7 linked regions of the Cricetulus griseus genome follow. The protein of the gene in region 2 interacts with the protein of the main gene of each other region in a biochemical or structural test. Links are inferred from orthologs where the notes say so. Each region holds a gene or a part of one and is shown on either strand. Other genes may lie near its edges. The genes, in order: Chek2, Pml, Daxx, Pin1, Mapk7, Sp1 and Eif4e.

The links.
Region 1: the proteins of Pml (region 2) and Chek2 form a complex in vitro, tested with the Homo sapiens proteins (2 studies listed by BioGRID, with this or other methods). The link is inferred for Cricetulus griseus from reciprocal best matches to the Homo sapiens genes PML and CHEK2.
Region 3: the proteins of Pml (region 2) and Daxx form a complex in vitro, tested with the Homo sapiens proteins (2 studies listed by BioGRID, with this or other methods). The link is inferred for Cricetulus griseus from reciprocal best matches to the Homo sapiens genes PML and DAXX.
Region 4: the proteins of Pml (region 2) and Pin1 form a complex in vitro, tested with the Homo sapiens proteins (2 studies listed by BioGRID and IntAct). The link is inferred for Cricetulus griseus from reciprocal best matches to the Homo sapiens genes PML and PIN1.
Region 5: the proteins of Pml (region 2) and Mapk7 form a complex in vitro, tested with the Homo sapiens proteins (2 studies listed by BioGRID and IntAct, with this or other methods). The link is inferred for Cricetulus griseus from reciprocal best matches to the Homo sapiens genes PML and MAPK7.
Region 6: the proteins of Pml (region 2) and Sp1 form a complex in vitro, tested with the Homo sapiens proteins (2 studies listed by BioGRID, with this or other methods). The link is inferred for Cricetulus griseus from reciprocal best matches to the Homo sapiens genes PML and SP1.
Region 7: the proteins of Pml (region 2) and Eif4e form a complex in vitro, tested with the Homo sapiens proteins (4 studies listed by BioGRID and IntAct). The link is inferred for Cricetulus griseus from reciprocal best matches to the Homo sapiens genes PML and EIF4E.

The regions. Positions count from the first base shown.
Region 1 is NC_048597.1:90,621,420-90,625,518, reverse strand, and holds the start of Chek2 (serine/threonine-protein kinase Chk2), read right to left. Parts: upstream 2,801-4,099; 5' UTR 2,721-2,800; intron 1,632-2,720; 5' UTR 1,579-1,631; coding exon 1,272-1,578; intron 910-1,271; exon of another isoform or gene 640-909; intron 1-639. Other genes in the region: iron-sulfur cluster co-chaperone protein HscB, read left to right, coding at 3,045-3,277. UniProt on the Homo sapiens protein: Serine/threonine-protein kinase which is required for checkpoint-mediated cell cycle arrest, activation of DNA repair and apoptosis in response to the presence of DNA double-strand breaks.
Region 2 is NC_048597.1:169,831,143-169,834,642, forward strand, and holds part of Pml (protein PML), read right to left. Parts: intron 1,755-3,500; coding exon 1,617-1,754; intron 1,212-1,616; coding exon 950-1,211; intron 667-949; coding exon of another isoform or gene 578-666; exon of another isoform or gene 553-577; coding exon 500-552; intron 1-499.
Region 3 is NW_023276806.1:232,098,472-232,102,569, forward strand, and holds the start of Daxx (death domain-associated protein 6), read right to left. Parts: upstream 2,801-4,098; 5' UTR 2,665-2,800; intron 2,531-2,664; exon of another isoform or gene 2,376-2,530; intron 1,406-2,375; 5' UTR 1,390-1,405; coding exon 1,183-1,389; exon of another isoform or gene 1,042-1,182; intron 909-1,041; coding exon 77-908; intron 1-76. UniProt on the Homo sapiens protein: Transcription corepressor known to repress transcriptional potential of several sumoylated transcription factors. Down-regulates basal and activated transcription.
Region 4 is NC_048597.1:133,534,173-133,538,310, reverse strand, and holds the start of Pin1 (peptidyl-prolyl cis-trans isomerase NIMA-interacting 1), read right to left. Parts: upstream 2,801-4,138; 5' UTR 2,722-2,800; coding exon 2,664-2,721; intron 1-2,663. UniProt on the Homo sapiens protein: Peptidyl-prolyl cis/trans isomerase (PPIase) that binds to and isomerizes specific phosphorylated Ser/Thr-Pro (pSer/Thr-Pro) motifs.
Region 5 is NC_048600.1:75,495,193-75,499,317, forward strand, and holds the start of Mapk7 (mitogen-activated protein kinase 7), read right to left. Parts: upstream 2,801-4,125; 5' UTR 2,607-2,800; exon of another isoform or gene 2,416-2,606; 5' UTR 2,400-2,415; coding exon 2,168-2,399; exon of another isoform or gene 2,143-2,167; coding exon of another isoform or gene 2,118-2,142; intron 2,054-2,117; exon of another isoform or gene 2,032-2,053; intron 1,583-2,031; coding exon 1,417-1,582; intron 405-1,416; coding exon 1-404. UniProt on the Homo sapiens protein: Plays a role in various cellular processes such as proliferation, differentiation and cell survival. The upstream activator of MAPK7 is the MAPK kinase MAP2K5.
Region 6 is NC_048595.1:398,805,496-398,808,858, reverse strand, and holds the end of Sp1 (transcription factor Sp1), read right to left. Parts: intron 3,034-3,363; coding exon 2,720-3,033; 3' UTR 501-2,719; downstream 1-500. UniProt on the Homo sapiens protein: Transcription factor that can activate or repress transcription in response to physiological and pathological stimuli.
Region 7 is NW_023276806.1:21,046,142-21,050,294, reverse strand, and holds the start of Eif4e (eukaryotic translation initiation factor 4E), read left to right. Parts: upstream 1-1,353; 5' UTR 1,354-1,368; coding exon 1,369-1,398; intron 1,399-4,153. UniProt on the Homo sapiens protein: Acts in the cytoplasm to initiate and regulate protein synthesis and is required in the nucleus for export of a subset of mRNAs from the nucleus to the cytoplasm which promotes processes such as RNA capping, processing and splicing.

The sequences.
Region 1 (4,099 bases), about 79 Mb from region 2:
TTTGTTCTCTTTCTTGCTTGCTCTCACTCTTACTGGCAAGGGCATTCCTTCGCCGGCAGTAAAGCCTACTTCAACAGGATCATGGTGTATACTGAACACCAGCTGAGACATCCAGCTTTATGAACTGAACAAGTAATTGCTAGATTCTTGGACCTCCCATGGGTAGCCATTGTTGGACTAGCTGGACCACAGCCTGTAAACCACTAGAATAAGAATGAATGTATAGGGGGCAGGAGAAATGACTCAGCGGTTAAGGGCACTGACTGCTCTTCCACAGGACCCTTGTTCAATTCCCAGCACCCACATGGCAGCTCACAAGGGTCTGTAACTCCAAGATCTGACACCCTCACACAGATATACATGCAGGTAAAACACCAATACACACAAAATAAATAATTTTTTAAAAAATGAAATATAATAATGAATATCAGTTCTAACAGTTTTGTTCCTCTAGAGAACCCTGAATAATACAAGTATCTTTCAGAAATAGCTCTGGATCAACCGGATATCCACATACAAATTATAAATTTGAACCAGGTATGCCTGGTATGTGTAATCTCAGCTACTCAGTAGGCTGAGACAAGAAGTTCGATGCAAGTTCAAGGCCATGAGGAACTACATAGTGAATTGCAAACCTACCTAGGCTGCAGAATTTCTTGTCTCAAAAATAATGAGTAGCCAGTCGGTGGTGGCACATGCCGTTAATCCCAGCACTCGGAGCCCAGCCTGGTCTACAGAGCGAGTTCCAGGACAGCCAAGACTATACAGAGAAACCCTGTCTCGTAGAGCCTGATAATATATTCGTATAAAGCCAGCACTTGGGAAATAGAAGCAGGAAGATCAAGAGTTCAAAGTCAAGCTCAGCTACATAGTGAGATCAAGGCCAGCCCAGGCTATGAGACCTTTTCTCTGAAAAAAAATGAAAGAAAAAGATAAATTTTGAGGCCAGCCTATGAAATTTCAAAAAATTCTATTTGATAATAAAAATAAGGTAGCTAGGGATGGAACAACAGATGTAGCTCACTCTACCATGCATAAGGCCTAAGTCTGATTCTTTGCACGAGGATCAACCAGGAGGAGAAATAACAGTGAGTACATGGCAGGTAATGGCAGCCCAGGCACTCCACCACAGCCTCCACTTTTTTTTTTTTTTTTAACTTTTTTCTCACCTCTAACCAGTTATAGGGGCCCTGAGATTTCTGTTGCAACAATCTAACCACCACCCCTGTTTCCCTGAACAATACATTATACTATATAACAAAATGCCTTACCCAGATTGGAGAATCCTTCCTGAAGAGACCATAACCTAGCCCAAGGGGCAGGACCAGGCTCCTCAGGTTCTGGGTCCTCAGGAATAGAGCAGAGCTCCTGGGTGGACACTGTCTCTAAAGAGCTCAGTGTCCCAGAGCTGGAATGAGAGGACTGGCTGGAGGATGACACTGTGCCGCTAGAGGAACTGGATGTGCCTTGAGACTGTGAGGAGAGGTCGTGTAACTGAGAGGAAGTGCCTTGTGACTGAGTGAAGCCACCCTGGGACTGTGAACAGGAACCACTGCTGTGGGACTGCTGATTCTTCATATCCGACCTCAAAAACAGAGTCCAACAATGAGGGGAGATTCAAGGAGCGAGGCCTAAAATTCAAGAACGAGGAATGGAAGCTGGAGAGATGATGCAGCAGCAAAGAACAGAACTATTCTTGTAGAACCCAAAAGTTCAGTAAGTTCCCAGCACCCAAGTCTGGAAGCTCAAGATTGCCTGTGACTCCAACTCCAGTGGGTTTGAAGTCCTCTCGTGGCCCCTGAAATCACTTGCGCTCACGTGAGCATACTCCTGCACACGTAACATATAATTAAAAATAAATCTTTACCCAAAGCTAAGTGAAGAATGTGAATATAACTCAATAGTAGACGCAAAGTCCTGGATTCCATGCCGAGTACCACCAAACATACGAAGCGGAGAACGGGTATACTTAGGGACTGGAGAGACATCGCGGCGGTTAAGAAGAGCACGTTGCTTTTTTGAGTTCAGTTCCCAGCACCCACATCCAGGAGCATACAAATGCCAGTAGTTCCAGCTCTTTGGGAATGCACTGCCCTCTGCTGGCCTCCCTGCGCACTGTACAGACTTACACAGACACATGATTTTTAAAAATAAATTTTTTATAAAAGGAACAGGCATATTATGATCACCTCAGAAGGGCAGAATCATTGATGAGTTTTTTTAAAAAAAGTGACCACAGCAAAATTTCAGGATCACGAACAGAATTTATCGGCCAATTACACAGCGCTAGCGTGTAGAGAAGCTGAGAATGGCTGGTTGCTTCCTATCCACTCCTTGCCACCCTACCCCACACACTTCCTTACGTACTCACTCCAGTTCCTGCAGAGCCTAGCAGCGATGTTTGTGGTTCTCAGTAAATATTTGGGAAGAATGAATCGGGGACCTGGCATGATCACTAACATTTATAATACTCGCTATGAAACTACTTCGCTCTCTGGCATTGAAGAGCCCAACTCTGTGCCTTCCCATGTCTCAGCTTGTAAATAACAAGAGAATGTCCCCCTCGAAGAGCAGCTAAAAAACAAGGAAGAGTCGCCTGCGTGCAGAGCTCTCTTGCACACACAGACCAGGCGGAAGCTGCGAAGGGCCCCTTTGCAGAAGACCCTGAGACCCGATTCGAATCCTCAGACAGGCAAGAAAAATTTCCCGCTAAAACTCACCGCGAAAGAACACCTGGAGCCACAAACACCCCAGACCGCCGCAACCAGTGGTGTGGCGCTAAACCTACCCATGCAAACTCCACCCTCAGCCAATCAAAACGCCTTTCTGCTCGGCACGACCAATAAGAAGACCCGAATGTGGCTGCCATGCGTTAGCCTCAAGGCTTGCTGGGAGTTGTAGTTTAGGATGCAGAACGGGACTCGGCATCCTGTTTTACCGAGGCTGATCCCGCCTCCTCGGCTCACTAAACCAATCAGCAACGAGTCACTCTTGCTTCCTTTCCCTCGAGTCCCTCGACCCAGGCCAGACGGGCGGCTGTCCGGATGTGGGGCTGCCGGGCCCGTGCTTTGGTTTGCGTGTGGGAGGTGCGACTAGCTGGGTTCCTGGGAAGGAGACTGCTGAGCAGCAACGCTGCCTCGGGCAAGAGCAATGCGGGCCAGTGCTGGAACTGCGGCAGCGCTGGGGGTGTGGAGAGTGGGGATGGGTTCTTCTGCGAACACTGCCGCGCCTTGCAGCCACCTGACCCGACTCGGGACTACTTCAGCCTCATGAATTGGTACGCGCGGCGCAGAGTTATGGGAGGGCGAGTCGGTCTTGGGGAGCTCGGATGGCCGAGTTAGTTAAATTAGGCAGGCGTTACCCTGGTGCTTACGACTTGGGTCCTCGCCGGCGGGCCTGTAATTTCCAGCCAGCTGGAAGACTGAGGCAGGAGGACCACGGTTCAAGGCCAGTTTAAGCAACTTACCGAGACTCATTCAAAACGAACAAAGCAAAAAAAAAAAAAAAAAAAGTATATAGGTCATTTGTATAATATAGGACCTGCTGAGATTTTAGGAGTTTGCCTGAGAGGAAGAGGAAATCAAGTTACAGACTGGAAAGAAGGTAAGGGTGGAGGCGGGGATGAAAGCGTAAACTTGCAGATGCCTGCAATGTAAGCACTTGGGAAGTGGAAGTGGGAGGTTAAGGAATTCAGGACTAGCCTCTGCTACAAAGGCTTTGTTTTTAAACATCAGCAACAACAAAAGGGAACAGGCTCAAGTTTACAGTATAGGGAGGTTTGAGGGGCGGGCTCCTGGAAAAGGGGATTCCAGAGGCTGAACTCCAGGGAGGAAAAAGGAGCAGAGTTTGTTTTTCAACTTGTAGTTCTGACTCTACCTCCCCAGTGCTAGGATTAAAAGCATCTGGACTAAAGTAGGAGGATCCCCAGTAGGTGCCCAACCACAAAAATAGGGAACATTCTCATCTCAAATAAGTAAATATTTTAAAGGAGACAATAAAAATAAAACAAGTCGTCTGTGTTGATGTATGCCTGTGAGCTCAGAGGGTGAGGCAGGATTACAGATTTGAGGGCAACCCGAGCTATACAATGAGTTTGATG
Region 2 (3,500 bases):
ATCTCTCTACATAGCCTTGACTGTCCTGGAACTCACTATGTAGACTAGACCAAGCTTGAACTCACAGGGATCTATATCTACCTGCCTCTGCCTCCCAAGTGCTGGGATTAAAGGAGTGAACCACTATATCTGGCTCATTGATTAACCGGGAAATAAACTCTTGTCCAGCTTTCATGGAGAACTTAGCAGATAGAAAATATATAAGGAAGCTTTTAGAAAAGAGCTTCGGATATTCCAGAGGACAGCCAGGTCCTGAAGGAAGCAGTCTAGCAAGCATTTCAGAGGCACTCTTGCCTGATGCCATGAGAGGGCTATGGTTCAATAAACATGCAGTCATTACTTGCAGACTCTCCTTGGTACAGTTTAGAGGCTTTTTATTGCCTTGCTGGAAATTTTCCCATGTGCCAGATGAGCCTGAGAGTCACCTGCTGTGACTGCAGCCTTTGGGGCTTTAAATGAGGGGAGGCAGGAGTCCTAGGCTGAACTCCAAGTTACTCACCAGATTCTCAGTATCTGAGTCTTCTGAGCTGCTGATCACCACAATTGGCTCTTCTGAAATGGAGAGGAAGTGGTGGCATTAAGTCCTTCCTGAAATGTCCACTGGCTGGGGTGAGAAGTGGCCACCCAGGAGAGTCCTTGTAAGCTGGAGGTGACAGATGCCCTGACCTGTGTGCATCAGGAGGAGATGGAGTGTATATATCTCTAAGGCACAGTGTTTGGCACTGGCCGAGTTTGAAGGAAAGGAGTCAGAACTAGGGCATAGGTCCTCAGGTGTCCCACACTGGAATCACAGCAAAGTACAGTGTAAATGACCTCCACCATACTCAATGGCAGCTCAGAGTAATGTGTACAAGGGAATCCTGGTGACTTTGAGTGCCCATGTGGGATTAGAATGTGAGATGGGGGAATGAGGGTCTTACCCAAGTACCAGCCTGCCTGATCTCCCTACCTGCTTCCCCTGTGTCACTGGTAACAAGGTTGCTGGTGAGCAGGAGGGTGTCTTCTTCTAGGACTGGACTCTCATCAGTGTTGGCAGGCCCATCCACATGGCGAGGTGAGATGGCCTTGGAAGTGCTGGGCCTGGGCTGCTCAGGGGAGCTAGTGCTCAACCTGTCCTCATTCTCTTCTGTGGACTCCACCTTGATGATCTTCCCAGAGCAATTCCTGTGGCAGCACTTCCTCTTCCTGGGGGTGACTGTCTGAGAAGCCTCCTGCACAGTGGAGAGTTATAGGGGTGATTCAGGTGTCTCCAGTGTTGTTGGGCTGAGGACCCTGAGGTGAGTGCCAGGGGCTTGTGGCATGGTTTTGCTCCTGTTCCTTTGGCCTTGGTGACCATATCTCTGCAAACAGGAAACTCTTTTGGGTTGCCATGCACACTGACCAAGGATCTCTGTTGACCTCATGGCTTTGGCTGTGTCAGCATCTCAACTGGGTTGAGAGTGGCTCAGGCTTATTGGGAGGGGAGCATCCCAGGCCAACGGAGAACACGGAGAACACGGGGCACAATCTGAGCAAATAAAGACCTTGGGAAGGCACAGATTCTCATCCAGCTGTGCCTCACTGTTGGTTGGAGTCTGACCCTTTCAGATGAGGCTGGGCTGAGTAGGAGGACTTACCTCTCTATAGGTGGGGCTTTTCATAGAGAAGGCATACACTGGCACAGGCTGTGCTCCAGGCACTGACTGTACCACAGCCACAGAGTGGGTCTCAGACATATTCAGGGCCTGTGCCAGTTCCCTCTGTACTTCATTGGGCTGTAAAATCAGGTAACAAAAAGTCAGAAATGGCCAGGGACCCTGGGCCTAACAATCTGCCTCACTTATAAGCTTCTAGGTCTGGGACAAGTAGTTTTTCCCGAACCCTCCATGATGTCACCTCCTTCTGACCTTGGGTTGCTGGTACCCAGGCACCACTTCAATTTCCTGACAGGGCAGGAAGACACCTCAGGGACCACAAGGCCAACTCCTCAGAACATGCCTGACAACTAGCCTAGCTTGCATGCCTCTAGAGACAAGCTGCTTCCTGTTGAGAGCAGCACCTCAACAGTGGTGGAGTTGCAGCAGTGAGAAAATCCAAGCCCAGCCTCCCAGAGCTTGCCTCTACCCAGCAGAGTACAGTAGAGTTCAGAGAGCCTGGACTTCTATTGTTTTTAAGATGTCAGCTAATGGCTGCAGGATATCCTGGCCTCTGTGGTGAATAGCTCCTATCTAAATAACAATAGACCTAGGCCAAGGTGAGTTTTACACTCATCCTTAAGGCTAGTGATATGTGCTGGTCTGGCGTGCCTGACAGCCAAGTGTATGTGCAGCTATGAGTGTCTTTAGGATTAAGGGAAGTAATTACTATCTGCCGTTTATACAAGATAATAGATGTCTTCTGCCATTGTCCCCACCTTTGGATGGTTACTTAAGATGATGTATGAATAAACTGGGCACATTGACTATTAACTCACTGCCCTCCTGATATGATCTTATGTCTCTGTCTTTTCTTTAACCAGGATAGCTAGTCTTCCCTCATCACACACTCCCTGACTCAGGAATGGACCCAGGGCCATTCGGTTTGTTCGGATCGCAGCTCCCCCCCCCCCCACCAACATCAGTCTTCAACATAGGGCCCCTCAACGTGGGGCTAATACAGACAGGGCCTGACACTAACCCCAAGTCTTAACTCTGTCCAGCAGCTGCTACACATTGGGATAATTTAAAACTCACTGGACTTCAGTCTCCTTCCAAAAAATGGGATAATAACATTTGCTTCATATGGTGATATGGCTGAAACGGGCCAAACACCTTCAACATATCTAAAAGAGTATGTAGTACACAGAGGGTTCCACTAGTGGGGGTGATAAAGATGGCTAATGAATGTCACAGTTTTATTACTATTCCAGGTCAGACTTGGTGCTCAGTGTTTTGAGTATCTATATCAAAATGGAAGCAGGGGCAGTTTCTCAAAAAGTGAAAAGGGAGCTGGAGAGATGGCTCAGAGGTTAAGAGCATTGGCTGCTCTTGCAAAGGACCGGGGTTCAGTTCCCAGAACTCACATGGCAGCTCACACCCATCTGTAACCTCAGTTTTAGGGGACCTGACACCCTCTTCTGGCCTCTGCAGGCACTGCACACATATGGTACACTTACCTGCAGGCAAAACACTTATACACATAACATAAAAAGAAATAAATTACCACATGACTTACCAATTCTACTCTTAGGTACTACTCCCCCCCCAAAAAAAAGTACTAAAGGTAGATGTTCAAATGCAAACTTATATATGAGGCTGGGCAGGCAGTCCAATGGTAAAGCCTACCATGTGCCAAGCCCCAGATTCGATCCTCAGAACAAGAGCAAAAAGTTTAAGCATCTTATCTTTGCCTTTATAGCTATGAAAGTGCTGGCTGTCATTCTACTTAGGCCAGGAACTCCCTGTAGACAAGGATGAGTGCCTCTGCTTCTGTTCCCTCAACATCCAATCACCAACATTAAAGAAGCAGAAGACAGTAAGAGG
Region 3 (4,098 bases), on a different chromosome or scaffold from region 2:
AAAAGAGAAAGCAGGGTCAGGGGCGTAGCCCACGTAACCTAAAGGACCCCTAGGAGGCATCCCAACAGCTTCCTACCTGGCTTATAGTCATCTGTGAGGTGGCAGCCAAAGTTGTAGATGAGGTCGAGGTGTCGGCGCTCCTGTAACCTGACGCCCACATCCCGGAAGGCATCCTGAGCCATGAGCTGGAGCTGCTGTCGGGGAAGGCCGAGATTGTGCCGGGTGGCCGCCCTCTCCACAGCCCTCAGCACGTCACCATAGTCAGGAAAGGCATCAGGCCCTGGCTTGTTGATGAGCCGCTCAATGCGCCTGTTGACCTCTGGGTAGCGCGTGCCACGGTAGGGGATTCTTTGCTCTATGACCCGGCCAGTCAGGGAGGAGCAGTCCTTCAACTCACACAGCCGCCCAAAGAGGTGGATCAGTTTCCGCTTCAGACGGGCCTCCTGCAGATACGTGGAGTCAGGGTCGTCCAGCTCCGAGAGATCCAACTCCTTCTCCTGCAGCCGCCGTATCTCTGCCACATACAGCGCCAGCAGCTGCTCCAAGCGCTGGATCTGCCTCCTCGAACCACGGGTCCTTGAGGCCTTGGAGGCAGTGTTCTCAGCATTTGTAAGTTCAGAGGAGGACTCTGTGGGAGGGTTATCACCAGAGGGCTTACTGGGTGTGGAGGGTGCAGGAGCCAAGTTCAGCTTCTTCTTATTTGAATGGGCTTTAAGAACAGTGCAGAGCTCATTAATGTAGACATACAGCTTAGCTGGCCGGTTCCGAGCCCGAGACAGAACCCGGGACATGATGTTGCAAAACTCTGCAGAGGCCAGAAACAGAGACTGGGCACGCTGCTGCTGTTTGTGGAGGAATGGAACCACCTCAGGGTGGTCGGATGTCTGTACCTTACACAGTTCGAGGAACTGAAGAGTTCGTGGAAAGGGTGGGAGACAGGAAGGCATTTAAAAAAAAAAATGGAATTAGTGGGAAAATCAGAACAAGAGAGCCAATCCCCCTTTCCTTCCATCTTCCCTGTCAGGTCATAGTGGTTCACACCTTTTATCCCAGCTCTCAGGAGGCAGAGGCAAGTGGAACTCTGTGGGTTCAAGGCCAGCCTCATCTAGACAGTTCCAGGCAGGCAGGGTGACACAGTGAGACCCTGTCTCAAAAACAAAAGGCGCCTTCTCTGAAGCTTACCTCTTCAAACAGCCTCTCGTTCTCCAACTTGTAGCACTTCCTGCCACCTGAGTTACGGCTTCTTCCATTCCCATGGGACTCAGAGGGACCAGAGGCTTCTGGCCCTGGTGAGACAGGACTGGAGGGGAGCTGTGAGGGCCCCGCTTGAGCAGCTGCTTCATCTTCATCGTCGTCATCCAGCACAATGATGCTGTCAGCGGAGGCCATGGGGGATCAAATCCCCCTAAGGGAGGAAGTGTTGGAAAAGTCAGAATTCTAGAACAAGGGGACCACAGGAAGAGCCCCTCCTGCAGAGCCCCACCCCAGCAGGGACCCTCAGTCCTGCCCTAACCCTCTTCAAAGCCCGTCTTCAACAACTACCAGTTTCAAGCAGTTCTGGGGAGCAAACCTCCGGATCATCTTAAATCCCCACCCTGAACTCCACCCCTCCGTCAATTTCCGGTCTGTCAGTTTTGTTTTCCCCTCTGTGTCAGCTGGGAAGTTTCTTCTTATCCCAGGACAACGTCCACACTGGCCTCTTGAGTTCCCCTGACCCTGTCTACAAAACCCAACACCCTGTCGGTTCCACCGTCTCCCTCAAACACCACAATGGAAGCGCTTCGAGCTTTTCCCTTTTTCTGTTTTTCAAGGCAGGGTTTCCCTGTGTAACAGCCCTGGCTATGCTGGCACTCGCTCTGTAGACCAGGCTGGCCTCGAACTCAAGAGCTCTGCCGCCCGAGCGCTAGGATTAGAAGGCTTGAGCCACCACCCTAAGTCCAACTCATTGACTCCAGCTGAAGCCCGTCCCCTCCTCCAGTCCCCTCCGCGTTCCACCTCCCACCGGGTTTCCTCAACCCGGGACCTGAGGGCTGGAGACCTTCACCCCGAGTCCCCGCCCTCTCACCGCACCCCGGCTCGCCCCGCAATTCTCCGCGGCCGTAACCGACAGCGAGCCCCCCGCCGAGCACGCCTGGCACCCGGGCTCCCGCCCCATCCGCGCCGGTCCCGGCTCAGCTTCCCGCCAAGGAGCCCCTCCCCCCGTTGACCAGGCCGCCTCACTCCCCTCGACTGCCAGCAAGGCAGCCCGCGGCCCCCAGGCCCCGCCGGCCCCTCGCTCTCGCCACGCCGGCCCCACCGCCACCGCCACCGCCTCCGCCTCCGCCACCGCCACTGCCACCGCCACCCCGAAACGCGCACGAGGGCCCGGCCCCCACCTCTGAAACGGTCTCTCGAGGCCGTCCTCACCGCGGATCAAAGAACCTCGCATGGTTCCCTCCGCCTTCCCTTCCCCGCAGGCCCCACGACGGACCGGAAGCCGCGGAGCTTCCGCCCACCACACCTGGGGGCGGCCATGTTGCTGTACGGAACGCGGTCCGCCCCACGAGCCGGAAGTGCCGCGTGACCAACCCACCCAGGACGCGGCTCGCGGCGCCCGAGGGGGCGGGGCCCGGGGAGGCGGGGCGGAGCCCGGGGAGGTGGGGCGCGCCATGTTGCGGTACGGACCTTCCTCGGGGAAGGCGTGGGGCTCTTCGCACCCGGAGCGGCCCGAAGCCACTCGGCCAGTCAGGAACTCCGTGCCTCGGGCCTCCCCGACGCCGTCTGGGCGAGCCCCGGCTCCTGCGAGGGGAAGGGACCCGGCCCCGCCCCCGGCCCCGGCCCCGCCCCCGCGGGGCACCTACGGAGCGGGCTCCAGGGAACGACAAAGTGAAAGCGGGTGTCCCTGCCCCGGGTTGCGGGGCAGCCTGACGCTCCCTCCTCGCGAGTCTCGGCCGCGAGCACTCCTGGCGGCCCACGCTCGCCCGCGCTCGCCCTACCCGCCCCGGGCGCTCACACGCGTGCACACCAACGAGCTCAGCCAGCTGCACAAGTGAGGAACTGTTCGCAGGCCGCCGCTGGCAGCGCCGGGACGCGAAGGGAGGCTCCTCCTCCCGGAGAGCTGCGGAGAAAAGGGGCCGGCAGGTGAGGCCCGCAGGGGTGCCCGTGGGGAAGCCGGGTCGGTGAGCACCCTGCCGCACCCCGCCTCCTGTCCGGTGCCCCAACTAGCTTACGGCATTTAAATGGGGAAAGGAAGTTCTTCAATGGTTAATCATTGATTATCATCTGAAGATGATGAATATAATTTCCTTATCCGTGGGTTTCTCAGAATGGGTTTTCCTGAGTGGATGCCTGAAATGAAGATTCCCTATCTTCTTTTTTTTTTTTTTTAATGATTTTTTTTAGGTACGAGTGCACTGTCCACATGTATGCCTGCAGGCCAGAAGAGGGCATCAGATCCTATTACAAGTGGTTGTGAGCCACCATGTGGGTGCTGGGAATTGAACTCAGGTCCTCTGGAAGACCAGCCAGTGCTCTTAACCTCTGAGCCATCTCTCCAGCCCCAAAGATTCCCTATTTTTCCACAATTATTTATTTTCTCGTGTGTGTGTGTGTGTGTGTGTGTGTGTGTGTGTGTCCCTGTAAGTCTCTGTGCACAATGTGAGTGCCTGGGAAAGTGAGAAGGGGGACCCTGCCTTTACATAGTGAAGCAGTCATCTGTAGCCCCAGTCCCCGGGCATCCAGTAGGGCGAGCTCATAATGACCATGCATGTATGCAGGCAAAACACCCATACAAAGTCAAATAGATAGACTTTTAAACAGCAGTTACACGAGCTGACAGCAAGTCCTAGGCTCTGAGAGAACTTGGAAGACTAGGAGGTTGAAAGAATAAATGTAAGAGCTGGAAGATGGAGAAAAGTGCTGAGTGGGGGTGGGGGCTTCCATGGGAGCCAGAGGGGGGTGGGGGAGTGACAATAGAGGTGACAATGACCAGAATACATTATATAATGAATACACATAAACATGAGCTTTACGCTGTCTGGTCACTTCTGTTCTTGCAATAATTCCAATTACTCAGAAGAACTTTGTCTTACGTGTGCGGGTGTTTTGCCAGCATGTATG
Region 4 (4,138 bases), about 36 Mb from region 2:
GGCAGATACCTCAAAGGAGGGGGGGTTCAAGACAGGGTTTCTCTGTGTAGCTCTGGCTGCCCCGGAACTCGCTCTGTAGACCAGGCTGGCCTCAAACTCAGAGATCCACCTGCCTTTGCCTCCGGAGTGCTGGGATTAAGGTCGCACGCCACCACTGCCAGGCCCAAAACTTTATTCTTAATCCTTACCCTGGTGGCCTAAATTGAAGAGCAAGAAAGCAGCATTACTGGGGGGGTTGATGTCATCTAAGGGACATCTAGGTGACAGTGAGGAGCATAAAGAAGGTAACTCAAAAGCTTAAGGGAAAAGCCTGGCTTGATGGGGCACAGTCTAGAACTAGGGAGGCTGAGGCAAGAGGATAGGTGTCTGCTGTTTGAAGCCAGTCTGGGTAAGTTTGCAAGACTGTCTCAAAAAAACGTGAAGGAGACCTGGTTGTGGTGGTATACACATGTAGGATTTGCTGAAGGAGGTGGAGGCAGGAGGATCACAAATTCGAGGCTAGCCAAGCAGTGTTGACACACACCTTTAATCCAAGCACTTGGGCTGCAGAGGCAAGGGGACCTTTGAGTTCAAGACTGGCCTGGTCTATAGAGTAAGTTCAGGACAGCCAGGGCTAAACAGAGAAACCCTGTCTCAAAAAACAAACAAACAAACAAAAAACAGGAAAAGGGGGCAGGGGAGGAGGGGAGGGAGAGGGACCAGGGATTGACATATAAAACAATCTTGTTTCTAATTTAAATTTTAAAAAATTAAAAAAAAAAAAACAGGAAAAAAATAGTGAAGGAGGAAAGAGGAGGGGCAGTGAGGGACATGGCAGGAGCTTGAAAGAAGGACCCAGTAGATTCTGGGTCACTCCAAGGGCTTAGAGTCTTTCTGGGTTACATAGGTGACTCAGCATCAAGAAGGGCCGGATGGCTGGGTGGTGGCAGCTCAGGTCTTTCCCAGCACTCGGGAGGCAGAGGCAGGTGGATCTCTGTGAGTTCAAAACCAGCCTGGTCTACAAGAGTCAGTTCCAGGACAGCCTCCAAAGCCACAGAGAAACCCTGTCTCAAAAAACAAAAACAAAACAAAAGTCTATGTAGCTCAGGATAACTATGAACTGGAGAACCTCCTGCTTCTGCCTCTTAGGTACTGGAAATTTATCTACGTGCTACCACACCCACCTAGAAGTATGTTTATGCTTAGGCCAGGAATGGAGCAGCCTGGATAGGAGCAAGGACTCTAGGGCTAAATACAATAGGCCATCTCCCTGAACCTCAGCTTTCTCATCTGAAAAACTGGGGCAAGAGAATAAGGACATCAGAACTAGGCATGGTGGCACATGAGTGTAGTCTCAGTGCTTGAGAGGCTGAAGCAGAAGAACCATGAGTTAGAAGCCAGCTTTGGTTACACAGCAAGACTTTTATCTTAGTGTGTGATAGTAATCCCAGCACTCAGAAAGGTGAGGGTGGGGACCAGAGGTTCAAGAAAGCAAGTTCAAGACTAGTCTTCTCCCCCCCCCTCTCAAATTTAAAAAGAAAAAAGAAAGAAAATAGCTGTGGGTAAATGTGTTTGCAGCCACGTCTGAGGATGTGAGTTTGATCTCAGGTACTCTCATGGTGAAAGAAAGAAAAAAAAACCTCCTGCAAAAGTTATTGTCTGATCTCCACAAGCATACACACAAAATATACTACTACTAATATTACTAATAAAGATTCTGTCTCAATAAATACATTGGGCAAAGTGGTGCATGCTTATAATCCCAACATTTGAAGGGCTAAAGCAGGAGGATCTAGCAACCTGTCCACGTGAGATCCAGTCTAACACCCTTTCACCTCCCCCTCCCAAACAAAAGGGTGAAAGACACATTAAACCTAGCCGCGTTAATTCAGAGAGAGCTAATGTATACAGTGTCCAGCACCCTGGTGCTCAATAAGAATAAGTGAGCTCTGTAGGCAGCAGGACCCTGGTTCTACCGGAGATGCCTATCCGCTCCTCAGGGCGTTGCCACTGACACTGGCAAGGGGACTCTGGCGGTAGGAACTCACTGCATTCCCAGTCCCTGAACTGCATCATTTGGCGAGTTCTTTGCGTGTCCTGGCTTCAGTTCCCTCACTAGAAAAATGAGAGCAAACCATCCCTTGAAAGACGGGCACGACAGAGAAACGGGAGAGAGAGAGGGGAGACCGGGAAAGGGAGAGGATGAGCCAAGGAAAGAGGGAGGGAGAGAGGAGGGGGGGGCAGGACGGAGATGAAGGGATCTAGGGAGGGTGGGGGACGTACAGACTTGTGAACGAACTTGAGCTCCTTTAAGCCAGCGCTGTCGCAGGATCCCGTGCTGGAGATGAGCCGGCACGTGTCACAGATGCTGCCCCAGAACCCAAATCAGGGCGGCCCACGCCCTCTAGAGGCACCGGGTCGGGTCTCCTCCTCCCAAAGGAGCCCCGCGGTGCAGCCTAGTGTCCTGAGGACGTCCGGCCCGGTGGTGAGCGACGGGCCGGCGTGCCCGTGCCCGCCCCACCTCTTGCCTCGGTCTCTGGCTCTCCGGGCCCGTTACGCCGCGGAGCCCAGACCTTCACGCCTAAGGCAGGGCGCCTGTCCTCGTGAGCTCGGGCCCGCCTTCTGCAATCTCGCGAGGGCCCGGCCCGGCCCGGCCCGGTCCCTGGCCGACCCCCAAGACGTACCTGAGCTACGACTCATGCGCTTCTCCCAGCCCGGCGGCAGCTTCTCCTCGTCCGCCATCTTCCCTCCTGCCGCAGCGCCCGCCCCGCCTCCGCTCCGCCCCGCTCCGCCTCCGCAGCTGTGACCCCGCGCCGGCCCAGCGCCACTGTCGATTGGCTCGCCCGGCTCAGACGCCCGTTGGACGGCCCCACGGCGCCGCTAGAGCGCTAGCATTTTATTGGGCTCACTCGCGGCTTCCTGGACCGCCCCTGCACACTCTCCGCCCCCCCGTCCCGACACCGCCGCTGATTGGCCCACCTGGAAGCGTCGCCCATTGAACGCTCAGGATTCCTTTAAGCGTCAAAAGGTCTCTGCAACCTTCTTGGTGGGCTTAGCCCGCAGAGTAGAGCTTATTGATTGGCTCCTGCGGCAACCAATCCCGCCTTATTGAGCCGTTCTTGGAGGTCGGCCAGCCTCCACGCGGAAGCGGCTCGCTGGTAGGGAGGTATTCGGTACTTTTGCTGTATTTTGCCGTTGCCATAGCAATTCAGTTGCCTTGGTGATAAGAAGCCAAGTGCCCAAAGCCTAAATTTGGCTTTTTGGTTCTCTTCCCACCTGTTTCCTCCAAAGCGACGCCAGTCCTTTTTGGGTTTTGCAAGGCTAATCATTTCTTTCTTTCTTCTTTTTAAAGATTTATTTATTATGTATACAGTGTTCTGCCTACATGTAGACCTGCAGGTTAGAGAGGGCACCAGATCTCATTGCAGATGGTTGTGAGCCACCATGTGGTTGCTGGGAATTGAACTCAGGACCTCTGGAAGAGCAGGCAATGCTCTTATCCTCTGAGCCATCTCTACAGCCCCAAGGCTAATCATTTTACCCACTTTCCAAGTTTTCTTTAGAACCTACTTCAACTTATTCCTTCTCTGCCTGACTCCTTCCTAGGTTCCTGGGCTGGGCGATGGCATTATCACTAGGATGAAGAAAAGGAATAGGCTTAAGTCAATTGATAGTCTGTGGAGGAAACTGATGTGGTGGTGCATTCCCAGCACTCAGGAGGCAGAGGCCAGCCTGGTCTATGAAATGAGTTCCAGGACAGCCAGGGCTATACACAGAAACCCTGTCTCAAATGAAACAAAAGCAACAACCCTCCCCCCCCCAAGAAAAAGGAGAGAAGGAAAAAGGTCTGCGGAGGGCTACAGAGATGGCTCAGTGATTAAGAGCACAGACTGAGCCGGGCGTTGGTGGCGCACGCCTTTAATCCCAGCACTCAGGAGGCAGAGGCAGGCAGGCGGATCTCTGAGTTTGAGACCAGCCTGGTCTACAAGAGCTGTTCCAAGTCAGCCTCCAAAGCCACAGAGAAACCCTGTCTCGAAAACCAAAAAAGAGCCTGGACTGCTCTTGCAGAGGACCTTTTCAGTTCACCAGGTCTGCACATGGTGCACATTCATGTATACATGCAGGCAAAGCATAACACTTTACAAATGTTGCTTTATGC
Region 5 (4,125 bases), on a different chromosome or scaffold from region 2:
CATAGTTTTTGCCTGGGAAGAGTTGTCGCCGAGCCAGCATCTCACCAAAGATGCAGCCCACAGACCAGAGGTCAATAGCCTGTGTGTACTCATGCAGGGAAAGCATGAGTTCAGGGGCACGGTACCAGCGAGTGGCCACGTACTCAGTCATGAAGTACTGGTGTTCAGCAGGGGAGGTACACAGCCCACGGGCCATTCCAAAGTCACCAATCTTGAGCTCACAGTTCTCATTCACCAAAAGGTTAGAGGGTTTAAGGTCACGGTGGATGACCTGAGCAGAGTGCATATACTTGAGGCCCCGAAGCAGCTGGTACAAGAAGTATCGCACATGCTCCAGTGTGAGTGGCTGTGAGGAGTGGATGATCTGGTGTAGGTCACTCTCCATGAGGTCCAGTACTACATAGCTGGAAATGGTGACAAAAGGTGTGAGCTGGTCTCATATTACAGGGACAAGCACAATCCTCACTAGCCCTCCTCTCAATTCTAGATATTATGGCCTTACACTGAAACCCTAAAGGACTAGCAGATGATATAAAAAAAAATAGCATCAGGTTCTAGATTTTTCTACATCACAAAAAGCTTAAAAGTTGGCTGGGCGTTGGTGGCACACGCCTTTAGTCCCAGCCCTTGGGAAGCAGAGGCAGGCGGATCTCTGTAAGTTCGAGGCCAGCCTGGTCTACAGAGCAAGTGCCAGGATAGGCTCCAAAGGTACACAGAGAAACCCTGTCTCAAAAAACAAACAAACAAACAAATAAAAAAGTATTTTGTGACTAATTAGTTATATCTGCCATAAGAATAGGAAGGTATCATGACACAACAATGTCCTGTGTCTGCTATCTTATAAAATCTGGACCTGTTCTGTTTCTCTCACTCTCTTGTTGTTGTCTGGGTCTTTTGTTTTGTCTTATGAGATAGGGTCTCATGTAGTCCAAGCTAGCCTTAAACTTACTACATAGGCAAAATTGGCATGCCCAAATAAAGAAATATATCCCCTCCCTTTTTTTATTCCAATACAGAAGAGTCAACCTGAAACCTCAAAGATGTGGGCCAGGTGGTAGTGGCACTCGGGAGGCAGAGGCAGGTGCATTGCTGTTTGAGGCCAGCCTGGTCTACAGAGTGAGTTCCAGGACAACAAGAGTTACACAGAGAAACCCTGTCTTGAAAAACAACAACAAAACCCCCTCAAAGATGCTCATGATTCTACCACTTAGCTACATCCCCAGCCCTTGTACTCTTCTTGAGAAACAAGAACCATCCCTACCAATGTTCTACAGGAACACTCACTGGTCCTTGAGTCATGGGACTCTTCCCAGCCTGTCTCACATTAGGTTCAGATGCCCTTCCAGAACATCAGTATTGGCCCTGGGCTTCTAAACTGGCCCCAACAATGTCTCCTTCTCCTTCCCCACTCCTTACACAGATTTGAACTCTCCATAGGGCACAGTGGGCCTCAGGATGTCCTTGATGGCGATGATATTGTCATGTTTGAAGTGTTTGAGGATCTTCAGTTCCCTGAGGGTCCGTTTGGCATTGGTCACCACATCAAAAGCATTGGGTATCTTTTTGATGGCCACCTGCTGGCCTGGAGAGCATGAGAAAGACATATACCAGAGAGTACCTTGAAGTAATTGCAGGCCCCTTTTAACACCGCTCTTCTAGAACCCAAGTAACAACAGGTACCTACGATGTGCAAGACCCTGTGTGTAACATATACCAAACTTTAATTTCACAACTACCTCATGAGGCAGGTACTAATAGCTCACATACAGAGGAGACACAGATAGTTAGCAGTGGCCTTGACTGTACTACCTGAGCTCACTCTCCCTCCTCACATATGCTCTCCATCCCAGATCTTCCCCATTCCATCACCAAGCCATTGTGCCAATCTCTGGCTCTAAAAGTTATCTTTCTGGACACCAAGGAGCACCTCTCTATTCTGGCTTATAGGGATATCATTATCCTAAGGAGGAAGTATAGGCTGACTGGGAGAAGCAGGGTCCCTGAGAAGGGTACCTAGCGGGGAGCTGGCACCTAGTCGGTAAGTGATGAGTGGAACCAGAGTCCCCGGCGCAGCTGACCCTCCTGGGACCCCTCCTGGGACCGTGCGGGTTCCTCACCGCCTCTGGAAAGCAGTCCACACATGCTGAGCCTCAGGAAGCCAGCTCACCCGTGAGGCGGCGGCGCGCCGAGGACACCACCCCATAGGCCCCATTGCCTATGGTCTCGATGATCTCGTACTCGTCCCCCACGTCAAAGGTCACGTCGAAGGAGCGGGCTTTGAGCAGGGCCAGGTTCTTGGCCACGACAGAGGCCGTCGTGTGGACGGGTTCTGCCTTCACCCGCCCAGGGGGCTCCCCAGAGCCGTCTTCGCCGTCCTCCTCCTTCAGCGGTTCAGCCATGGTGTATGTGGAGACCCTGGTGAGGGGACCGCCCTGACGGCCTCAGTTTCCCCTCTGTGAGCTAGGAGGCAGAACCTGCTCAGCAGGCGAAAGGGGGCGGCTGGCGCGGCGAACCCTGTGTCCCGAGAGTAGGGGCTCAAGGGGGTGCGGCGCGGCCCCGGAAGAAAGGGAGGGGCGGGGCCCTGGGGCTCCCGGGACCGCACTCACCGACCCGCCGGCACCTCGCCGCCACGCCTGCCGCCTGCTCGGGGACTTGGGGTTCCCAGGTGTTGCCAACGTAGCGACGAGAGTGTTCCCCTGGCCTCGGTCACTTATCAAGGGCCACAGCTACCACCTCAGCCTCGCGCGCGCCGGGCCAGACCACCCCGCCGGCCACCCCGGGACCACGCTCCTCCAGTCTCTGGCCAATCATTGAGCGATCCCCGTAGAGGTTCCCGCCTCTTCATTTTACTCTATCCAATCGGAATTCACCGGACGAGGAAGCCGCGCCCTTGTCTCGCACGCACGCGCGCGCGCGCGCGTTCCTCGCTGTCCAGCTCGCGGCGGGAGCCGCCCAAGGGGTGATGCGCGCACCTCAGGGATGCGCGCGCATCCCCGCAACACTGACGCATGCGTGCTAGCAGCCTCTGGAGCTGGGAGAAGGGAGGGCAAAACACTGCTACGTTTGCCTGGACGTCAGGGCCTACGGGCTCCATAAACCCGAAAGGGTGGAGATACGGGAAGGGGCGGGGGGGGGGAGCTGTTACCTAGACAACAAGCTCCGCACCCCTCCCTTTCCTTTCGGCTCCTCTTGTTAGCCTCATCTCCTAAGGGATTTGCATCGTACTCTTTTGGCGCCGGAAGTTCTGGACGCCCGGTCCCGGAGTAGTAGCCACGGAGACCCAAGTCCTCCGGATTCTAGAGCGTCCCAGGCCTGGATGCACACGCCCTCTGGACCGCGACAGAGCCCTCACCCTATGATTCCTTTCCTCGCCATCCCGCTACGGATGGGTCATCCGGAGAAGGCAAAAGTGAGCGCTGTTAACCCCAGCGCTGGAAAGGTTCTCGGTAGCAGCTCGGGTGTTGCCCACTCCAAAGAGGTCTGGGTTTCTCAGTGAGACAAGAAAAATGTGGAGGGAGAAACTGGGATGAAACTAAGTAAATTCTGAGTGCCCGGTTAACATATATTACGCAGTTCTCAACTAAAAGCTGAAGGTTGGGTCCCGACCAGAAATGAATTTTGGCAAGTGTACATACATAGGTGTTTATGTTTGTACTTTGTAACAAAATACATGCAGAAAGTTTCCCACATCAATACATTTTCACAAACTTATTCCACGCATGTTTGATTTAAATTAAATGTTTTTAAAAAGTTGGGCATGATGGCTTACACCCTTAGTCCCAGCACTGGAGATGCAGAGGCTGGCGAATCTCTGTGAAGACTAGCATGGTCTACATACTGGGTTCCAGGCCAGCCATGGCTACACGGTGAACCCTGTTTCAAAACAGTAAGTCCTTTCGGTTTCTAGGACAGATTTTTGGGTCTGTGGCTGTTGTTACTCATTATCTATACTTAGGGGTTTCAGGAGTTTTATTATGAAATGTACATCAAAATAGAAAAGTAGGCATTGCATTTTGTTTTACTACACCCATGGATATTGAGGAGGAAGCTGGGGAGACAGTGCTTGTGTTCTGATCCCCAGCACCCATAAAAAAGCCCAGCATAACTGCACTGGTATAATACTCA
Region 6 (3,363 bases), on a different chromosome or scaffold from region 2:
GAAATTGCTCCCATTTTAGGGTCAAATAAGACACTGGAGAAGAAAATAGGAAAAGTAGAAGAGGTCTGATGCAAATTAATTCATGGTAATGTTAATGAAGCAGATGTTGAGTGTAAATCATCAGCTTTTCACCCAAGAGAGAAAACACTATCAAATAACTTCTCTACAGGCTTATAGTCCTTGGCATCATTATCTAATCACCTCACACTGAACAAGATTCTATTCCTTGAAATGATCTAGCAAAATACTGCACACTCCAGTGAGTTATCCTGCCTGCCCCTTCCTCCAGAGATGCCATAGTACATGATTATAGACATAAAATAACAAGGTTTGAGTTCTGCTTTTCTGTGGGGATAAAAGGTTCATGGTGACTGAGGACAGATAACTTTTACTTCAACATTAATAACGTGATCTGGGAAAAATGCCTTAAAATATTATTTCCTGAGTCTTGATAACAGTATTAAGTCTGCACAGAAAGGACCAAATGAAATAGACTAATGTTACAGGATTAACAGCTCTTGTATTTCAGACTAACAACACCACAAACTTACCAAGAATCTAGTTTAGATGGAATTCACATAAAATGTATAATAATAGTATAATCTATTTGTAGCCAAGATAAAGAAGAGTTTAAAACAAGGACTCTGCTATAGATTTGGATGTTGATTTCATTTTCAAACACAAAAATAGTTTCTTCTTTAGAAAGTGCACTAGGAGATCCCCCACCCCATTCATAATTGTAACTGATTTAGCATAAGCAGAGAACTGACCTCAAGAACATACCCAAGTTTTATAACCAATTCCTAGGTAACAGGCCTGAAAGGCATTTTAATCTGAATTTACTTTCCAACAATTTCAAATATAAGTTCTCATCTGCACGTAGATATATACAGGCACAAACACCCATTCATACACACAGTCATACACAATTTACTTTCTCTATCAGATCAGGGTAATTTTTTATTGCAGGTCTCTTTAAATATTGGCTAACAGAAAACCTATCCCCAACCTAATAGATTACACACATACACACAACCACTTCCACACTTCCTCACAGTGAAAGGCTCTCTGACAAGATACCAGAAGGTCAAGAGAGACAATGCTTTAATGGCTGGGCCTTGAGGACAATTCTGGTTGCATTTAAGTCTCGGTGTCAAATGCACTGAGTTTCCCTGCCGATATAATTTTTGGATCAGTCACTTCTGGAATCAGGCCATGGAAAAAGCAGGATAATTTCTCCCGATCTCTCCTATAATCCACAGTGGTAAGACAAGATTTCTTTTTGTTCTGGGCCATCGTTCCCATGATTGTGTGCTTCCCTTTCCCTTACAAACACCCACGTACATATAAGGAAGAGTTAAGGGGGAAAATTTTTAAAGAACTATTCTTTTGTCACTGGCACAAGTTTTGCATTCTACAGCATGAAAAGTCAGAACAGATTCGCTGGCTAATGTTCCTTAACATTCAAACATTAACAAGAACTACAGAAATGTTCAAAAGAGGAAGTGTACTTCCTTTCAGTGTGTGAACTCAGAAGCCCCTACATTAAGGCTTAGGGCTATTTGGAAGACAATGATACTGAAATCCAAATAATTCCAATAACTGAGACTGAGTTATTTTCTTTTCTGAGAACATCTTTTTCCTACTAAAAGCTGCTGCCTACTATTTGACCATTTTTTGACAGTTTATACACACTGATCCCAGATTATCTCTCTCCAAGGGCCTTTTAAACAATTCCACATAGAGACTTCTGACTCCGGATGTTTAGAGCAGCTAACAAAGGGAAATGGTTTTGACTCTCCAGCACTGAGAAGGTGCCTGCGTCAGTAGTAATAACACTCCCCATAGCTACTTCAAGCATCAGGCTGCACTTCAAGGCTGTCCATTCTGCAGTTGGAACTAAGCTCTTTAAAATAATGAGTGAAGGGCCTAATTCAGAGATCATTGTCAAAAACAACACAGGAAGTGATCATGTGAGAGAAGGGGAGAAAAAAAAAAGACTGAGTCAGGAAAGGAGCGCAAGGAGCTGATCCCAAATAAAATGACAAAAATTAAGGAAGAAGACACATTATGTATGTATATATGAACTAAAAGCACAGCATTTGCTTACTCTGGTGGGATGCCAGGACAACATTTATAGAAAAGCTTGATGTGTCATGATAAGGCTCAGCCATTGAGAAATAAGGCAATATTAAAAAAAAAAAAAAAATGACCAAGGTATTTTTTGGTCACAAAATGGTCTTTTTTCCTCCTCCCAGCCAACCCCTGTGAAAGCATCTCTATATATTTTTTATATATATATATATAATATAGAATCTGTTTTTGTTAAAAAGTATTTCAATGATCATATATATTTATCAAGGCATGATGGCTTTGGGGGTGGGGAGTGGGGATCCATCATGGGAGAGCTCAGAGGGGAAACGCAGGAAGGGGAGGCTGGGGTAAGAAGTGTAAGAAGAACCTGGGATGAAATAAATGCTTATCAAAGGGTGGCACCAACAGAAATTTCACTAATATTTTCCATTTTCAAGAAGTCACCAGTGACAGATTGGTGCCACAATCCCATCTCTTCTCTTGTACCCTCCCCCAATTCTTCCCACCACCAAGCACATTAATGCCTCATGGCTCTCTCTTCCACATGTCTCTTGGACCCATGCTATCTTGCATCCCAGGCTTGGTGGGTATTGGCCCATATGTCTCTGGCTCTAGGTATCTAATCTCAGAAACCATTGCCACTGATATTAATGGACTGTAGCTCTGTCACCTGCATGACGTTGATGCCACTGTTGGCAAGACGGGCAATACCCTCTGGACAGATGGCTTCCATGGCTACCATATTGGTGGCAATAAGGGCTGAAGGAGTGGCAGTGCCACTGCCTTCTGAACCTGCCCCACTGTCCAGGGGCAAAGTGCCCACACTCAGGGCGACACCTGGGCCTCCCTTTTTGTTCTGATGGGTCTTGATATGCTTTGACAGGTGATCACTCCTCATGAAACGCTTGGGGCACTCAGGGCACGCAAATTTCTTCTCACCTAAATAAAAAAAAGCAAAAGATAACTTAGTTCAAAAGTAGTCAAAATAAAGATTGGGTTGATATTTATCCTTCAAATCCCACTTAAGGGGGGGGGGCTAGAAAGATGGCTCAGAGGTTAAGAGCATAGACTGCTCTTCCAGAGGTCTTGAGTTCAATCCCAGCAATCACAACCATCTGAATGAGATTTGGTGCCCTCACTGTATATATAATAAATGAAAAAACCTTTTTAAAAAGTCCCATTTAAAATGGAGCTCCTTCTTAAAACCTTCCAGATTAATCCAAGTGCTCTTTGAGACACACTGTTTCACGTATAAATTGTTCAGGATTT
Region 7 (4,153 bases), on a different chromosome or scaffold from region 2:
TTAAATTTAACGTAAACTCTCTTGACAAGTTCTGGTATCTACTTCTGAGTCTTATACTTTTCTCTACCAGTATTAGGGGAAAATAGTATGGGCAGTAATAGAGGCAAAACTGAAAAAGACCCTAAGCAATAAAACAGTAATATGTTCTATGATATTTCAGTTACATTCAAGTCTTGGATTGTGTTAAAACCACAACTTAGTGTCTTTAGAGTTTGTTCTAAGTCAGTTCTGAGTTGTTGATATGTTTAAGGTGGGGTACCAAGTGAGGTTTAGAATACAGAGTTGTACAAAATGTGGTCTGTACTTGTTCCTTAGGAGCCTGGTTTGGGTCAGAGTTGAAATATTCCTAGTGATAACTCTGTTGTGAAAGTTGCATTGAAGCTAGTTGGAGATAGTGTGCAGAGTGGCATTGAGGTACTTGTTTTTCTTTTTGTAACACCCCTGCCTTTAGACTACTCATGGTATTTTTAATATTTTTGAGATTTGCTTTTGGAGCCCAGCCTTGGTGGTGCATGCCTTTAATCCCAGCACTTTGGAAGCAGAGGCAGGTGGATTTTGAGTTCCAGGACAGCCAGGGCTACACAGAGAAACCCTCTCCTGAAAAACAAAGCAAATAAACAACAACAACAGATTTGGTTTTGGTGCTTGATTTTCAGCTCAGAGCCTGGTGTACACTAAGTTCATTCTGCTACTAAACTACGCTGGTGCTTCTTCAGTTTCAGATCTTTTTATTTTTTTTAAAGCAGCTGTTATATTTTACTATTGGACTGCAGTTGAGGAACTGTGTTAAAGCTTGTAAAAGTCTTACTTGGTTATTGCTGTGTGTGTTTCTTTAGTTTTTTTTTTTTTTGTAGTGTGTTGAATTGTAAGCACCTGGAGCAGTGTGGTTCTCAGCTTGTAGTCCTGACCCCTTTTGGGGGATTAACAACCCTTTCAACAGGGGTCAGCTAAGAACATCTGAAAACACAGGTATTTACATTTCTACTCATAAAAGCAAAATCACAATTATGAAGTAGCATCAAAAGTAATGTTATGGTTGGGGTCACCACAGCATGAGGAACTGTATTAAAGGGTTGCAGGATTAGGAAAGTTGAGAGCAACTTACTTAGTCATGAGTAGGTGATACTTCTCTCCTTACATATCCAACCTTTTATAAGTATTTGTCAGTATTTCCAGTAATCTATGGAAAATCCATAAATGATCATTTTCTTTTTTGTTTGTTTTTCTAGACAGGGTTTCTCTGTGTAGCTTTGGTTCCTATCCTGGCAATCACTCTGGAGACCAGGCTGGCCTCGAACTCACAGAGATCCACCTGCCTCTGCCTTCCGAGTGCTGGGATTAAAGGTGTTCGTCACCAACGCCCCTCGAATGATCAGTCATTTTCAATCAGTGTTTGAGGTTAGTTATGCAAGTAATGGCTTACAGATAGAGATTGAGACGTTCAAAGGGGAAATATATTGCTTTACAGAACCTGTGGAAAATGGTTGCTCCTCTTAGTTTGGAATTGAGGAAAGTCAAAATTAGACTTAGTGAAAATGGTAGACCATGTCCTTGATGGTATTCTATGGGTTCTTCCTTTTAGATAGCTTACTTTTCTTCTGCTGTTTTTCCTGTTATTTAAAAAATGTGTTTTTTTGTGTGTCTGTGTGTAGGTCTGGAACTTGTGTCTGTCTGTCTGTCTGTCTGTCTGTCTGTCTGTCTGTCTTGGAACTCCATAGATCAAAGCTGGGAGTTCTGCCTTTTTAGCATTGGGATATATACAGGTGCACAACATCACACCTAGTCCAGATATTTCCTCTCTTTATACTTAGCCTTGCTTTTAAAATAAGACTGGCAAACATGGAGAAGCCAGCTGTGGTGGTGCATGCCTGTAACCTGAGGACTCACTCAGAAGTGGAGGCAAGAGAACTGTGAATTGGAGCACAGCCTGGCCTACATGTCATACCTTGTCTTAAAGCAAAATAAAGTCTAAGAGAAAAGGTCCACTGAGATAGATAGCTTAGGGGCAAGGGTGTTTGCTGCCAAACTTGAGGGTCTGAGTTGGAGACTAGAACCCTCAGGTTGCAAACAGGACCTCTTGCAAATTGTCCTCTGATCTCCAAGTCCACACCAAGGCAAGTGCACACACATAGAGAAATAAATAAGTAAATATATGTGTGAAAAGCTTAAAAAAAAAACAAGGAAAAGCACTAAAAGTTATAAAATGTATCAACCGAAAAGCTGTTTATTGGTAAGCAGATTGACAATTTTTTTTTTTAATTGAGAACTCATTTTTTGTAATTTATTTATTTATATTTTGTGTGCATTGGTATTTTGCCTGTATGTATGTCTGTGTGGGAGGGTATCAGATCCCTGGAACAGGAGTTAGACAGTTGTGAGCTGCCATATGGGTGTTGGGAATTGAACTCAGGTCCTCTGGAAGAACATCCAGTGTTTTTAACCACTGAGCTGTCTCTCTAGCCCTAAAAGTTAAATCCATGCTTCATTTCATTTTATTCATTTAATGTGCATTGATTGGTGTTTTGCCTGTGTAAGGGTGTCAGGTCCCCTGGACCTGGAATTACAGACAGTTGTGAGTTGCCGTGTGGGAAATTGAACCGTTTCCTCTGGAATAGCAGCCAGTGCTCTTAACCACTGAACCATTTCTCCAGCAGGAACTCATTTTATTAGTAACTTTGTTTAGTTATTTCACATTTCACTTCACTTTATACTCTGAATCTGTGTGATTGTTTGACTTAGAAAAACGAAATGTGGATATACACTTTATGCATCATAGTTACATAGAATCAATTAAAATTTTTCAGATTGGCTTAATCCAGATTGAACAGAAAGTCCTGAGCAATAGCACTTTCATGACACACTTAATTTCTAAGACTGTGGCTCACAACTGGGGGGTGAAAACCCTTTCACAGGGGTTGCCTAAGACCACCAGAAACATATTTATGTTGTAATTCCTAGAGTAGTAGAATAACAGTTATGAAGTAGAAACAACAATAACTTCATGGCTGGGGGTCACCACAGCTTGAACTGTATTGGTGGGTCACAGCATTGGAAGGTTGAAAAACCACTGTTCTAGAAGGCTAAAACTATAAAGGTCAGTAGAAGTACCAGCAGCCCTCTTATAATAGGAGACATGTGCAATAGTTATCGTGTCAATAGTCATTGCTCCTTTTCCTTCCCTGCCACACTGGAGACTCGATTCTGTTACATTATGAGTTGTGCGGTCTTTCTCAGGGAGATGACTGAGGAGTGGGATTAAGCATGGCTTATACAGTCTTGTTTAAATTTTCCTGGGAGTGGGGAACATTGAAATTTCTTAGTCCGGGTAAAAATGGGAATCAAATAGCTTAATTTTACCCTGATTTTTAAATGGAGTATTGGAGATGATATGTGTCACTTGTGTGGATCTAATGTTTGTACTCAATCAAGGTTCGGCACCTCTCTGCATGCGCACATCTTGTGCTGGAAAATTCTTGTCAGTCCTTGGCCATTATTAGCAAGCAATGTGAAATCTATGATCACAGCTCAGGTATTGTCGACTTTCCTGTTTTTACCAGAGTCTAGTCACATCTAGAGAAGAAAGGATTGCTTTTCATCTAAAAAAAAAAAAAAAGGTCATTTTTTTTTGTCTTACAGTCAGAAACAAGTAGTTGTCTCTGAATGTGTGTTCCTCTTTGTATATTGTAATTTTAAAAATACATTATTCCATGGAAATTGATGGGAGGCTTAGGTGGACTACAAGCCTGACTAGTATTTCCAGGAATGTGGATTTAGTGTTCTAAGCAAGTAATTTTTTAAAAAATGACCTTTCAGTCACCGCCTGTTTGTAACAACTGTTTGCTTTTGTAGCGACTATTTTTAATAGAGGCAGATCTTTATTAATTGCTAACTTAGTGTGTTGGGCCTCAGAGTAAGTATTTTATATATATTCATTTATTGCTTGCAGCAGTTCTGTTAGATGAGTGGAGTTATTCTTAATTCACAGATGAGGAAACCTTTAAGGCAGCCGAGTTCTGGCTGTGCTTGTAAGCATCACACTGCTATCTGCTGGGCATGGAGGGTAACTTGAGAAAGGGAGCTTAGTGTTGATAAGCTTTCTAGGGCTTTGTTTCAGCTCTAAGATTTGTGCAGACAGACTTTAAGACGATGCTTA